Alligator mississippiensis: one gene and its partner. Each later gene encodes a partner of the first gene's protein in a complex. Links are inferred from orthologs where the notes say so. Each region holds a gene or a part of one and is shown on either strand. Other genes may lie near its edges. The genes, in order: GAPDH and RPL13A.

Region 1 (7,191 bases):
AAGGGGACAAGTAGGGATAAGGCAAGGGGAGGACTGCTCCACATCAAGACAGGACAGAATATATAGCAAGTGCAGCAAAGCTGCTCCAGATCCTGCACCTGCAATACTTACTGCTTTCTCCAGGCGACAGGTCAGGTCTACTACAGAGACATTGGGTGTTGGGACACGGAATGCCATTCCAGTGAGCTTCCTGCAAGACAAGTCAGGTGTCACCAGATGAGTGTGCATCCATGATTCCCAGGTCAACTAGGGTTTTGACACAGCCTGCTGGGAGGCTGTAGCTGTAGCTTATCCTGCCCTCCTTCCCCCATGCAGGTAACCCTTGGGGATGAGGGTGGAGATACTCGCCCATTGAGCTCAGGAATGACTTTTCCCACAGCCTTGGCAGCACCAGTGGATGCTGGAATGATGTTTTGGGCAGCGCCTCTGCCATCCCGCCACATCTTCCCAGAGGGGCCATCCACAGTCTTCTGTGTGGCTGTGATGGCATGGACTGTGGTCTAGAAGGTGGGACAGAGTTAGAATACAGTATATGCACCTGGAGTTTCACCTCACTACCTGAGCTACCTGCTGGCCCCTACCTTCCCCAGTGTCCAGATGGTATAGGAAGGATCACCCTTCCTACTCTACTAGATCAACAACCCCCACCCACAAAGCCAGGCCTGTTAGTTTCAGTTGTTTGGGGCTGGGAAGGATCTTACAGATCATTGGGTCCAGCCCCCCTGTACTTGGGCAGGAAAGACCTGGAATCAGATGACCCCAGCAAGATGAGCATCAAGACACTTTTTGAAGTTCACCAGGATGGGCAACTGTACTACCTCTTGTGGGGGGAGAAAAAAAAAAAAAGTGACCACCCCCCATCACTGCCCCCTTACTCTTATGGCCAACCCCTTGGTTGAAAGTTCTGTAACAGATCTCTCCCCTTTCTACCCTCCAGGCCTGATGTTTCCAGGTCACTTACCATGAGACCTTCCACAATGCCAAAGTTGTCATTAATGACCTTGGCTAGGGGGGCCAGGCAGTTGGTGGTGCAGGAGGCATTGCTATGGGAAAGGAGAGCAAGACATCAGCCTGGGGCAGGTGGGGCCAACCCCCAGTGGAGAGCACAGGCAGGGAGCAAAACTCCCTACCTCACTGGGGTCCACTTTGCACCTCAGACTTGTCCTGCACAGGTGCCCATTCCTCACCTGACAATTTTCAGAGACTTGTCATACTTCTCATGGTTGACACCAATCACAAACATGGGTGCATCAGCTGAGGGGGCAGAAATGATCACACGCTTTGCACCACCCTTCAGGTGAGCCTAGGAGAGAGGGAGAATACTCTTATCTACCCAGGTATGAGGGGATACCACACACATGCAAGTCATACACTTCCTCACACCTTGAAGTCATTCAAACACATTCTCTTGCTTAAGACAGAGCTATCGCCCTGCTTAAACCCTTCCTCTCACATATCCACCCTAGGTACAGCCACCACTTACACTGGCCTTCTCTGTGGTGGTGAAGACTCCAGTGGACTCTACAACATATTCTGCTCCAGCTTCTCCCCACTTGATGTTGCTGGGGTCACGCCTGAGAGGAAAGAGATCGTTTAATATCCAAAAGCTATTAAATTCTGCTCCTCCACATCACCCTGTGCCCCAAGCTGCAAAAGGAAAGGGAAGGGGAAGGGACACTCACTCCTGGAAGATTGTGATTGCATGCCCATTAACCACAAGTTTTCCATTCTCAGCCTTGACAGTGCCATGAAAGCGACCGTGTGTGGAGTCATACTTGAACATGTAAACCTGGTGGGTGGGATAGGGGAAAGAGCAATGTCAGAAACGTGGGCTGTATCCCTCCAATAATCCCCTGCCACTCCGGGCTCCAACACCCCTTGCTCTGCCAACCCTTTTGGCTGAGGGTAGCTTGCTGCTTCTTCCTGAAAAGACCTTGCTTGGGTCTGGCTCCCTTGATATGGCTCTGAGGCCAGCCAGCAGCCCTTCACTGTAATCTCTGCCACACCTCATGTGCCCATGGTGCTTGGCTTTTGGAGGGACTGGAGAGTCACTGCTTTCCCTCCCTTCTCGCCATGCAGGGAGGCAGCTTGGCCAAAGGCCAGTAAACCTGGTGGGCTGGGGAGGGAGAGCAAGGTGGAGGGATCCCACTCACCATGTAGTTGAGGTCAATGAAGGGGTCGTTGATGGCCACGACCTCAACTTTGCCACTGCTGAAGGCGGCTCTGGTGACCAGGCGGCCGATACGGCCAAATCTGGAAGGGGGGGAAATAAAAACTGAGGCCCAGGCACATCGAGGGGTGGGAAGGGGACACTGTGAAGGAGTGCTGCAGTCTGGGGAGGGAGAGATTTGTGGTGCCACTCCTGAAGCAGCTGCCCTTTCCTCTGCACAAGGAGAGGCCGCAGGGCAGCAGGGGGGGGGTTGCCCAGCTGCAGCAGACCAAAGGGCAAGAGAAGTTGGAGATTAACCGGCCCGGTCCACTGCAGAAAGGTCAGGTACTAAATTTACTGGGCCTGGGACAGCAGCTCCAGTTACAGCACCATAAGGTCGCATTTCCCGGGGCCTCAGGGCTCAGGCAGACACGCGATCCTGGGGGGGGGGGCCAGGAAGCCGCAGGAGATCCCAGGGCAGAGCCCTAGTGCTGCCCCGAGGCGGTGGCGCTTCCCGCTCGTGTGACTCAGCCCGGCGTGGCCCAGAGGGGGGTGGGGGGGAAGTGACTCAGCGGCCGCCCCACCGGGCCGCGGCTGCCGCGCACAAGGGGCCGCGTGCGCGGACCGACAGGCGGGAGGGCGGGGGGCGCCGCGGCCGCAGCTGCCGCACGGGACGACCTTGACACGTCCTTGGGGGGGGGGGAAGCACAGCCCGGGCGGCCGGCCCAGCCCCGCCCCGCGCTCACCCGTTTACGCCGACTTTCACCATCTTGTCTCTGGAAGATGCTCCTAGGGGAGGAAGCGGCGGTGAGACCAGCGCGGACACTTTCCGGAGGCCGCAGCCCAGAACTCGCCGCCTCTCTGAGCCCGCCCGCACCCCACCCCGTCCCGTCCCGTCCCGTCCGGCACAGCCCGATGCCCCCGCCCTGCCCCGCCCGGGACACAGGCAGGCAGCGCCCCTTGGCCAGTCCCGGACACCCACGTGCCGCGCCTGGCCCTGGCCCTGGCCCTGGCCCCGCGCACCTGGCCTGACCCAGCTCGGCTTCGACGTGCAGTGAGGAGGTGGGAGCGAGCCGCGCCACCCCAATATATAGCGACTCGCGGGCCCGCCCTTGCGGCCCGCGCCCAATCAGCGTCGGGGGGCGGCCCCGGGCTACGTGCGCCTCAGCTCGCCTGGCCTGGCGTTGCCTCCAGATCCGGGCGGGCACTGGACGGGGGAGTGGGGCGCACTGGGGTTGGGGTTGCTCGCCTAGGCGGGTAGGTGTGTGCCTATCCCACGCGCCCTCGGGCAGGGGCCGTGCCGGGGGCGGGGGACGCAGCCCCGGCGCCCCCTCGGGCCCCGTGCGCCCCCCCCCCCCCTGCGGGACGTGACGGCGGAAATCCTCCCGCCGGCCCAGGGCCGCGATAGCGCCCAGTGGCCTGGCCGAAGTGCCCCGTCCCCGCGCCGCTCGGCCTTCCCACGGCTTAGCCCCGGCGCTGCCATGCGGGCTCCAGCTCCCCAGGCCCTGGGGGGCAACGCTGGCGCAGGAAGGGCACCTGGAGCCCAGAGCACCAGGAAGGGATGGAGTCAGAGAAGCGGGGCTGGAAGGGACCTCCAGGAATCATGGAGTCCAGCACTGCCTGAGCCAGGGTCACCCCTATCCAAACCATCCATGGGCTAAACCCAGCATAAGACTGCTGTGAACCCTGAGGCACTAAGGAGCGAGTGTGCTATGTGTTTTGTGAAAGAAGACTTGAAGACATGCAAGCATAATCTAAGGGATACTTAGATGATACTTAGATACTTAAGGGATATTTAGATTATACTTAACACTATTAAATACTCTTGTGATATGATCCTGGCAATGTTGCCAAGTTATCCTATATAGCCATACCTGCCTTAGATGAAGCAATCTTTCAGGAGAAGATGTAGTGAGGGGCAGCAGGCTTCCCCCCCCCCCCCCTGCCTGGCCCTGTTTAGGAACCTCTGGAGCAGGCTGGCAGCAGGCATGAGAGACAGCAGGGCAGGCGTGGCGTGGGGGGGATGGGGAGTAGATACCAAGGGGGTCTGCAGACAGGTCACCTCACTCAGGCGTAACCCAACTCCCCTTGCAAAGCTACTATTCCCAGGGCTGCCAAAGAAGTAGACAGCTAAGTTTAGCTCCAATGGAGGTTGTGACCTTTACTTAAAGGCCATGGGGATGGATGGCTTATGCTGCAACCCTGTGGAGGGGTCAGTGGGGAGGGGGTGACAATCCTGGCACCTCTTCCTCCCTCAGGAAAGGGGCCAGCCCCAAGGCCCAGCCTGCTAGGGGGAGCAGAACAGTGACAAAAGGTGGCTCCAGGCTACTAGCACATTTGCAAGGCCTACTGTTTACTGAGCAAACATGAATGCTGCTGAGGACTCTGTGCAGGGGGCACAGGGCAGGTGAGAACAGCCAACATGACAACTGCAAACCTCTCTGGCCCTAGTGTTGTCCCACTCAACCTTTCAACCACTTTTCCGTAGCCAAAGCTCCAGTTGGGGCAAGCCAAGATGAGCTCGCAGGGACATACTCCACAGTCAACATTCCTGCTTCTCTGGCTTGGAGTACATGTAGGTTGAGATATGCTACTCCCTTGTCTCATGCCTTGACAACATGAAAGCAGCTTCCTCTGGGGTGGCAGGAGTGAGGGGCTAAACATGGAGCACAGGGAAGTAGAAGATGTGTTCCCCAGCACCTCGTAATAGCACACATAGGGTCAGTGATCTGTTAGCCAGCTCCCCACAGACCTCTTTCACTCGTCTGTGACTGTGAAAGTTTGGGGAGGAAGGATGACAGAGTCGGGCAGAGTCAGCCGTGGGATTTGGCAACTGTGAATCAAGGGAATGATGTTGGAGTGGCTGTTACATAAGGGTGTTAGACCAGGCCAGGGACAGCCACTGGGCCTAGCACAATGGTGTAGTGTCTGTGGGAAGCAGAGAGTGAGACAGGGAGTGACAGAAACTGAATGGTACAGAACTGGGAAGTCTTTCCCCAGTACAGAATAGATCTGGATTTAGCTGCTCTCCTGGCATTGGTGCAGGAGTGAGGAAAGGTCGTGCTTGATATGTGAGAAACAGAGAGAAGCCACTCCACCGGACTCCACAGGTGAACTGCGCAGAGAGAACAGCAGGCCTGCCTAGCTGGGATGCTGCTGCCATCTGCTGGCTGTGAAATGCTGACCCTTCCCCTCTGTAGGACTCATGGAGCAAGAGTATCAAAATGGATGTAGTAAAAGGCTACATGAGGGCCAGGCACTGGGCTGCTGGCATTTTACTTATGTAACACCCACACACACTTGGGGTTGTGTGTGGTAAAGTGTGGTTTTGGTAGTTGTGTGTGTTTTTTGGAGACTGGAAGAGGCCCACTTCCCTCCCCCGTCATTGTGTCCTGACCATTGTCTTAAGATTCCTTAAAAGAACTAGTAAAACCAGTTCAGTGACTCCTGAGCGCATCCAGGAGCACTGACCACCTTTGAATACATTGGTCTGCATTACCAGTGTTTAAATGATGCTGTTTCTTGATTGGGACCCTGTAATGATGTCAGAAAAGTTATTTAAGGTTCAGGCTACCTAGGCTGGGGGCTCTTTTCTCCTGGGGCTGCTGAGAGCTGTACTGTTGAATTGGGAGTCGGAAAACCTGCTCCTGTTGGGCCGGGGGGGGGCGCTGTCATGTCTCTCCCCTCTTCAGTGGAGAAGCAAGTAAAAGCTGTGTGACTGAGAAGCCTCAGGTACAGGAAGAGAAAGTCTGTCTCAGGGCTTGAGACCCCTGTTTTCTCCCTCTCCTTTCCCCTTTTGTTTTCTGGGTTTTGAGTGAGATGATACCATTGGGGGAGTGGGGGTATCAATTCCATGCAGCAGACTAGCCAGAGTTGGAGCCTGGCAGTTTTGCTGATGAGCTCCTGGCCAGGCCTAAGAGCCTGACATGTAGAAGTTGTGGTTACACTCCTTTTGGTTTCAACCTAGATGTGTGGTTGAACCCCAGCTGTATGTCTTGATGGCAGTTTTGGCCACACGGGCCTTGAGTGGGATGGCATCATTAGTGTATTAATCCCTAGAGCAGACTGACCAGGAATGGGGTTTTGGCAGTTACTGACCTCCTGTGTTGGGGATTGTAGTGTCTCAGCATGGTAGACTGGATGTCCAAGCTGGAGCTATAAGCCTGAGCCCTTTTTGCTGTTCCACAGCAATTGCATTTCAGCCCAGTTGAGGTGGCTGAACCCCAGCCATATGACTGGCTGGCAGATTTGGGCTAGGGTGAGACTATGGCACTTCTTGTTGTTTATCCAGGCTTTAGTGTGGTATAGGCCTGGCCAGCTTTTTGCCCAGTCCAGGTCCAGTGAAATAGGCCTGGGCCTCCTTTTGTCCCTCTTGCAGTTTATGCCCAAACCAAGCAGTATGGTTGGGCACTAGTTGTAGTTCAGGTCCTTTCCAAAGTAGGCCTGACCCCTTTTTGTTGTTTCATAGCTGTTAGGTCTCAGCATAGCAGTGTAGCTGAGACTAAATGTCCAGGCCGCAGCCAAATAGGCCTGGTGCTCTTTTGTTGTATGTTCAGGACAGGAGGTGCAGGACAGGCCTGGGTCCCCCCTTTTATTGTTTTATAGCTGTTGTGCCTCAGCCTAGCTGTGTCGCTGAGCCCTGCTGTGTGTTTGCTGCATGTTCAGGCCTGGCATGGTTTGGGGCTGACCCATGTTGTTGCTTTTGCAGTTCTTTGTCCTGACCAAGCAGCGTGGTTGGCGCTAGTTGCAGTTCAGGCTCATTTGCTGTTTGGCTGGCTTTTCTTTGAGTTCTCTTGCAGTTTCCTGTCTCAGTAGAGCTAGGATTAGGACTAGAAACTTTGGGGTGTGATATGCTGACAAAAGCTGCAATTAACCCTGCAAAGCCACCACGTGGAAGTGGAGATCAACACTACAGCTTCTGAGGGAGCAACAAGGGACCCCTTGCAGTGCAGGCCCCTGAAGCAGCTCATAGGACTCTCTGGTGTGGGACTCTCTCTCCATCCTATTGCTGAAAGGCAGCTATAGGGGTGCAGGCCCCTGGA
Region 2 (7,326 bases), on another chromosome or scaffold:
GGGATCTCTTTGAGGGATCCTCTGGGGGCAGGCCATATTGGGGTACAAGACCAGAGAATTTTGGGATGGGGGATTATGGGGGCACAGGGAGATTTGGAGGAGCAGGTACAAGTCTAGTACAATGGTCTGTGTGGGGGTGGGATTCTGACATGAAGCAGTAATAAGGGAGCCAGAGGTAATTTCTGGGGGGACAGCAGGATGTGGCGGGCAGGGGGTACTTTTGGGGCTGGGGTACAGCTGATCAGGGGGTCCACAGGGCAGTCTCTGGGTTCTGGACAGGCTGAGGCACCCAGCAGATCTGGGGTATTGGGGGGCTGCTGGCATGTTTGGGGTTAATTCCAGGGTGGAATTAACCCCTTACACCCCCTAAGCGCCCCTGAATTAACCCCAAACATGTCAGGATGCCCAGTGACCCCTCTGGTACCCAAATCTGCACTCCAGAAATATTGCTGGGTCCCCCCGCCTGTCTACCACTTCCCTGTGGGTCCCAGTATCAGCTGTACCCCAGGCCAAGAAGTACCCCCTGCCCCCACATCCTGCTGCCTCCCCAGAATTTACCCCTGCTGCACCCCAGATTCCCTTCTGCACTGACACAGACTTGGGGTGCCAGGAGCTGGGGGGGGGGTCAGGGGTTTTGGGTGAGTGCAGGAAGAAGTCTGGGGTGCAGTGGGTTTGGGGACCTAGCAGTAAAAATGGAGGTTCAGGGGGGGTGATGCTAAGGACAGAGGGGACCTTGTAGGGGCAGGAACAGTTTGGGGGCAGGAGGTATCTGGAGGGGGCAGGAGGGGCTGGGGGTGAAGGACGCATTTGGGGAGCAGAGAAGAAATGCGGGGAGGTGGCTGCAGGGCAGTTTTCAAGGCTCCTGTGGGGAGATCAGTCCCAGGGGGCCATAGGGGGGACTCACAGGGGACAGAAGATCAGGCTTGGGGCCCAAGGGTGCCTGGGTTCTCTCCTCGCTCTAGCAGGGGAGTGGGATTCTGGCAGGGTAGAGCAGGGGGCTGGGAGCCCAGGACACCTGGGTTCTATCCGCACTCGGGGAAGGGAGCAGGGTCTGGTAGGTTGAGGTGGGGGGAAGCTGCAAGCCCAGATGCTTGGGTTCTACCTCAGCTCTGGGAGACGAGTGGGGTTTGGGGATCTGGGAGCTAGGACGCCTGGGTTCTCTGTCTGGAAAGCAGAGGGTTTCTCTCTCTCTCTGCTGGGGTCCATGTTATCCCCCGAGTAGCAGCCATCACCTCCCGTGAACTCTGCCATGCCCAGCAATATGCCCAGAAACACAGGATCCTGCCTATGGCAGCTATGAGGAGCTGGCCAAGGACCCTGACATGGATGAGCATTGGGATGGCGGGGGAGAAGGGAGATCCTTTGGGGCAAGGCAGATCCAGCCCGTCTAGGGAGCAAGGGCCCTATGACAGAGAGGGGTGGTTGGGGCACTGGGTGGGGATTGGGCTTTGTAAGGCCACAGGGATTTGGAGGGTAAATTAGGTTCTCTCCCAGCTCTGGGTGGGAAATAGGGCCTGGTTGGTCACAGCTGAGGGTGCAGGGGCAGGAACTAAGATGCCTGGATTTTCTCCCAGCCTGGGAGGGAAGTGGGGGCTAGTGGGACACTACAGGCAGGGACATAGAAGCCAGGACACTTGGGTTCTCTCCTAACCCTGGAGGGAAGTGGGGCTGATGGGTTGGGAAGGTTGGGGGGCTGAGATTCAGGGTTCTGTCCCAGCTCTGGGCAAGGGGTTGGGGGTGAGTGGAGCCTGGACACCTGGGTCCCAGCTGACTGCACTGTTGCAGATGTGGTGTACCTGGGGGTGGTGAATCCCATCCACCTGCCCACAGGGCAGCTGTTTCTGTGGGCTGGCAAGCCTGTGTTGCTGGAGAAGCCTACGGCCATGAATGCAACTGAGGTATGGGAGCTGGCCCAGGAGGCCTGGAAGAGTGGGGTCTTACTTATGGAGGTGAGACATGGAACCCCATGCAGGAACCCCCTGCAGTGCAGCTCCCCCTCCCAACCCTCTCTGCAATATGGCACGGCAGCCCCCTCAGCTGTCCCTGTCCTCCCCCCACCCTAGGTGCTCTGGACCTGCTTCTTCCCAGCCTCCCAGCAGATCCTGTCGCTCTTGTCTTTGGATGGGATCAGGGAAGAGAAGCTGTTAAGGGAAGAGTTTGAGGCTCCCATCACAGGGGTCCCACGCATTGTGGAGAAAGAGTTGGGTGGCAGCACAGTGCTGGACATTGGCTGCTATGTCATCCATTTTGCCTGCATGGTCTTCCGCGGGGAGAAGCCCAAGTCCATCACTGCCTCAGGTTTCCTGTGCCCCACTGGTAATGAGGCTGTGGGGGTGGAAGTAAGGAGCACCCATAGGGTTTGGGATGAGCTGGGGGCTGCAGGTCAGAAGTAAGGGACACTGGCAGGGCTGGGGGGATAGAGGGTCCCATCGGAGCTGCCTCCCCTTCTAGGTGTGGATGAAACCACTTCCATCATCCTGAACTACTCAGGGAAGTGCCAGGCTGTGCTCAAATGCTCCACTGTGGTGAAGCTGCTTAACCAGGCAGAGGTTGGCTGCACCAAGGGCATCCTCCAGGTATCAGGCCAGGAGGGGAAATTAAGGTAAGAAAGGAAGGAGAAAGTCAATGGGACAGCCTAGACCCAGGCATACTGGCTCCCAGCAGGCCCCACTCCCCTGCCAGAGATGGGGATGGAAACTGGGCATCCTGGATCCCAAGCTGTGCCCCTGTGCTGAGCCCTGGGGTGCTGTGTCTCTCCCACAATAGGTCCCGGATTACCTGTGGTGCCCCATGGAGCTGGCAGTGAATCGGAAACTGGAGGAGTGCCCACTGCCACCCTGCTCTCAGCCCCCTCAACTTAGTGTCTGCTGAAAGGTGATGGGCCAGGGCACTGTTTGGAAAAGCTCGCAGCACTGGCTGGTAGATCCCAGGTTTAGGCGTTGCTGGGGGGAAGCTCACAGCTCTGATGCCCTCCACACTGACACCCATCCCACTGTCTCTGACAGGCCTGAAGAGCCCCATCCTGCCACTGGCCGAGAGCGAGCTGGCTGCCTCCATCATGAATTAGTTGTGGCAGCAGCTGGGGGTGACATACACTGAAGAGCGGGTCTGACCCCCCCCAGCCCCGCCAGGAACCCCAATAAAGATGCGTGTGGAGACCCCCTGTGTGTGTATCTGTGACAGATGGCAGGGGTGGGTGTCTGGGGTGATGCTTCCCTGTGCAGTGGGCCACAGTGTGGGTGGGGCTGGGGTCTCTGTCCCATTGGGGCATCAAGGTGGGGGTGGGGCTGTGATGTCACAGGGGACTTGGGGAGTTTCTTGGGGGGTTGGTCTGGCTGTGGCCTCTGGGTCACAGGGGTGGAGGTTCCTGGGGGGGTTGTGATGTGGGGCTGTGACAGTCAGGGTAGGGCAGAGGTTGGGCCCAGAAGAAATTACTGTGATGTCAGAGGGGCTGGATATGACATCGCAGTGGAGATGGGGCTGCGGTTTGGAAGGCTAGGAGGTGGTGACATCATGGCTGGGGCAAAAGGTGGGCCTGTTACATCACAGGGGAGCTTTCTGGGTATGATGTCAGGGTGGGCTGAAGGCTGGGGGTCTGCAAGCGGGGCTTAGGAGGAGGCTATGATGATGGGGGGTCCTTGGGGCTTGTGGGGGTTGGCTGTGATGTCAGGGGGGCAATGGAGAGGGGTGATGAGGCCTCCTGCTGCTGGGAGGAGGGGAGTGGGTTCCCTATGGAGAACGCCCCCCTGTCACTTTGGGGCCCCACTCCCGCACCCCATCCTGGCTGCAGTCTCTGTGCGTAGAGGCACGTGATTCACGTATCTGAATAAACATGAGGTGGGCGTAGGTTTACTTCCACCCCCCCCAATCTCGCTTTATATACCGGTAGTTCCGGGGCGCGTGCTCTAATGGTGCCCCCTAGGCAGCGACTTCCGCCCGGGTTTAAGACGACATTCGGCGCTGCCCTCGCCGGACAAGGCTGCACTTCCGCCCGACTTCACCCCTAACGGTCCCAACCCCTCTTTTCTTTTGCCCATAATGGCGGCTCCCGCTTCCACTCACTTCCGCCCTGGCCCCATGTAATCTCCGGGCTACGAAGTGCGGCTCCTCAGGCCTCGATACTTCCGTCCGGCTGTGAGGTCACTTCCGCCCCTGTGCACTTCCCCGCCCGGAAGGGGAGACCCCGTAGCGGGCGCGGGGTGGAGCCTCTTTCCTGTGCGGCCGGCGAGGATGGCGGAGCTCAAGGTTCGTGCAGGACCGTGATCGTCCTCCACTCCGGCCGCGGGGTCACGCGTGGGGAGCCGGCAGTGGGGGCGGGTCCTGGGGGAACGGTCCAGTGTGGCTCTGCGGGGTCCTGGGTGGGCCCATGTGGTCGGGCCGTGCGGGGGAGGCTTAAGGGTTGCCGCGTGGGGCACTGCCTGGGGATCTGGTCCCAGGCAGGTCTTGTGTAGGAGGGGGCTCCCCTGGGGTCCGCAGGGGCAGGGCTTGGGGCCCCCTGAGGCCTGCACCAAGCTGGGCTCCATCTCCAGCTGTGGGAATGGGGGGCTGCTGGTCTCCATTTCTCTGCCAAGTTCTTCCCCTAGCCCCCAATGACGTCCACCTCTTTCCCCCTCCCCCCCAGGTTCTGGTCATCGATGGCCGTGGCCACCTCTTGGGGCGCCTTGCAGCCATCGTCGCTAAGCAGGTCCTGCTGGGTAAGTGTTTGGGGGTGGGGGAAGAAGGCATCAAAAAGCATGGAAGAGATGATGTCTTTTGTTAGACCAACCAGTGACTTGCAAAGAAATCACGTTACTTATTTGCAAGCTTTTGTGCACACTTGCCTTTCGTCGGACATAGGAGAGGGCAGAGATTGTAAAACTTCTCCTAGGTAGAAATGAAGATTCATATTTGGCAGGAGACCTGAAGGTGTAGTAAAGTTTCTTGTTTGGAATAGTTTGTTTTGTCCAGGTTAGATGCAGAGAAAAGTTGAAAGACTTTTTAAAGTCTCATTTTGGGGGTGGGGGAGAAACTCTCCCCCCCTTGTAGGGCCAGGGGGAGCCCCTGTCTGTGCCCAGCAGGGAAGTCTGTGATGATGCTAACTCGGTGTTTGAGTCTCACGGCCATGAGAACACCTCTTCCATGCACTACCATCTGAGACAGCTCCTGGCAGCCTAGGCACTTGGGTTCTCTCTGGGAGGGGAGCAGGGTTGGGTGGGTTAGAACAAGCTGGGGCTGGGAGCTGACACCTGGGTTCTGTCCTAGCTGGGTGGTGTCTGGTGGGTCATTGTGAAGTGGCTGGGGGTTGCAGGCCAGGACTCCTGGGTTCCATTGCTGTAGGTTAGGTCATCAGAGTAGTCGTATGCTGAGGTCTGTGCTGTTGGTGAGGTTTGAGGCTTCATGGTTCGAGGCTCTGCTGTCTGCCCAGTCCATTGCTTTTTGCAAACCGCCCCAGTTATGGCCCACTGATTGCACCCCTAGCCAAACTGTTAGCCCCTGGAGGAGCACCAGGCAGGTCTGACTCAATCCTTCTGGGCCTTCAGAGTTTTGGACCTTGTGCCTTTCTGTAGTCGCTTGATTGGGCTAGGAATTTTACTTGACATGTACCTACCTTACCCCCCCCCCGGTGTATGGTCTGACGCTGCTCAGAGACCCTGTTACCATCTATCTCCCTTTGCCTTCTCTTAGGACGCAAGGTGGTGGTAGTGAGATGTGAGGGCATCAACATCTCTGGAAATTTTTACCGGAACAAACGTAAGTACCTCTGCAAGTGGGGGTGGGAGCTGAAATGACTGGATTCTGACCTGGCTCTAGTGGGAAGCAGGGGACCTTGGAGCCAGGACTCATAGGTCCTTTTCCAGCCTAGCATTTCCCCGCCTGCCACAGCCGGGACACAGCATTTCATGGTGCTGATTCTTCACCCTCTTGCAACCGTTGGGCTGAGAGACTTCTCCTTGGAACTGAGGCCTGTGTGCAGGAAGCTGGTGGCCCCTGATGAGGGGGGACACAGGGACCCTGTATATAGCCCTGAACTAGCATTAGGTGTTCTCTACTTGGCTGGCTGCTTCCTTTTTCTGGTCTGTGGAATCTAGTGCCTGCCCACTGCTCCTGAACCTGTATAGATTTAGAGTGGTGAAGGGGAAACTGAGGCATGATGAGCCAGGGCTATGCCTATGTCCTGCAGATTTGTAGCAAAGCTAAGAATGGAACCCAGGTGTCCTTCCTCCCTGTAGAGGTATAGATTAATCCTTAACCCCTCCCCTGGGCACTGCTTTCATTCCAGTCAAGTACCTGGCCTTCCTTCGCAAGAGGATGAACACTAATCCTTCCCGTGGCCCGTACCATTTCCGTGCCCCCAGCCGCATCTTCTGGAGGACTGTCCGAGGTAACATCCCTATGGGTGGATGCATCTGCCTTTAAAGGACCAGTTGGGGTGGTTCTTTGTTCAGTGAGCTTCCCCAGCTCTGGGAGAGGAGTAGGTTTGGCTGGATTTGGAGCAGGGGGGCTGGGAGCTCAGTGTCTGGGACCTGGGTTCTATTCCAGCTCTGAGGGCTGTGGAGTCTGGTGGGTCAGAAGATGGAGGGGGGGAGGGTTAGAGGAGATGCTGGGGGTGTGATTACTAACTTTGGGGTAGCAAGTGTAAATGCTCTAACCCCTGCAGTCCTAGAGAGGTCACTGCAAGGTCCCTGGGTGGCCTGGGAAGCATAACTGCCCCTCTCATGCCTCCCTCAGGGAGGGGCAGAGAACAGCCATGGTACAACATGCCCTGGCTGTGCTCCCCCTGGCTTCCCCTTCCTGGCTTGGGAAGGAGGGGCATGCCTATGAATCCTTCCCCTCCCACCCCCCTCTGTTGAGGGGGAGGTGAAGAAGAGGGTGAGAACTGCCCCAGCCATGCCCCTTACTGCCCCTGGTGGAAAGAATGGAGCAGAGGACAGCCCCAGCACAGGCCTTCTGTACCCCATCCTGCCCTTCTGCTAACCAGGCCTCCTCTCCATGCAGGGATGCTGCCCCACAAAACCAAGCGAGGGCAGGCCGCACTGGAGAGGCTGAAGGTGTTTGATGGCATCCCGCCCCCTTATGACAAGGTGAGGCATGGTGCCCTCGGGTGGGTGGGAGGGACAGAATCATTCCCACCCCGCGTCTGTGATGCTCTAATTTACCTACATTGTTTGATGGCTCGTGAGAAGAAAATCCTTCAAACACTGAGATGCCGCCACCTATACCTCCTGCTTCCCATCCCTGCTTCCCCTTCCTTGATGTGATGCTCTCCTTCCTCTTCTCCCCCCACCCCACGCAGAGGAAGCGCATGGTGGTGCCTGCAGCTCTGAAGATTGTTCGCCTCAAACCAAC

Evidence for each region.
Region 2: GAPDH (region 1) and RPL13A share a complex: the UniProt entries of both Homo sapiens proteins name them as parts of the GAIT complex. The link is inferred for Alligator mississippiensis from reciprocal best matches to the Homo sapiens genes GAPDH and RPL13A.

Annotation. Positions count from the first base shown.
Region 1 is NC_081824.1:243,386,619-243,393,809, reverse strand, and holds the start of GAPDH (glyceraldehyde-3-phosphate dehydrogenase), read right to left. Parts: upstream 3,239-7,191; 5' UTR 3,173-3,238; intron 2,939-3,172; 5' UTR 2,919-2,938; coding exon 2,896-2,918; intron 2,254-2,895; coding exon 2,154-2,253; intron 1,790-2,153; coding exon 1,683-1,789; intron 1,575-1,682; coding exon 1,484-1,574; intron 1,304-1,483; coding exon 1,188-1,303; intron 1,044-1,187; coding exon 962-1,043; intron 501-961; coding exon 345-500; intron 187-344; coding exon 112-186; intron 1-111. UniProt on the Homo sapiens protein: Has both glyceraldehyde-3-phosphate dehydrogenase and nitrosylase activities, thereby playing a role in glycolysis and nuclear functions, respectively.
Region 2 is NC_081828.1:39,550,658-39,557,983, reverse strand, and holds the start of RPL13A (large ribosomal subunit protein uL13), read left to right. Parts: upstream 1-4,146; 5' UTR 4,147-4,230; coding exon 4,231-4,245; intron 4,246-4,621; coding exon 4,622-4,694; intron 4,695-5,058; exon of another isoform or gene 5,059-5,140; intron 5,141-5,664; coding exon 5,665-5,730; intron 5,731-6,259; coding exon 6,260-6,361; intron 6,362-6,975; coding exon 6,976-7,061; intron 7,062-7,112; exon of another isoform or gene 7,113-7,189; intron 7,190-7,273; coding exon 7,274-7,326. UniProt on the Homo sapiens protein: Associated with ribosomes but is not required for canonical ribosome function and has extra-ribosomal functions.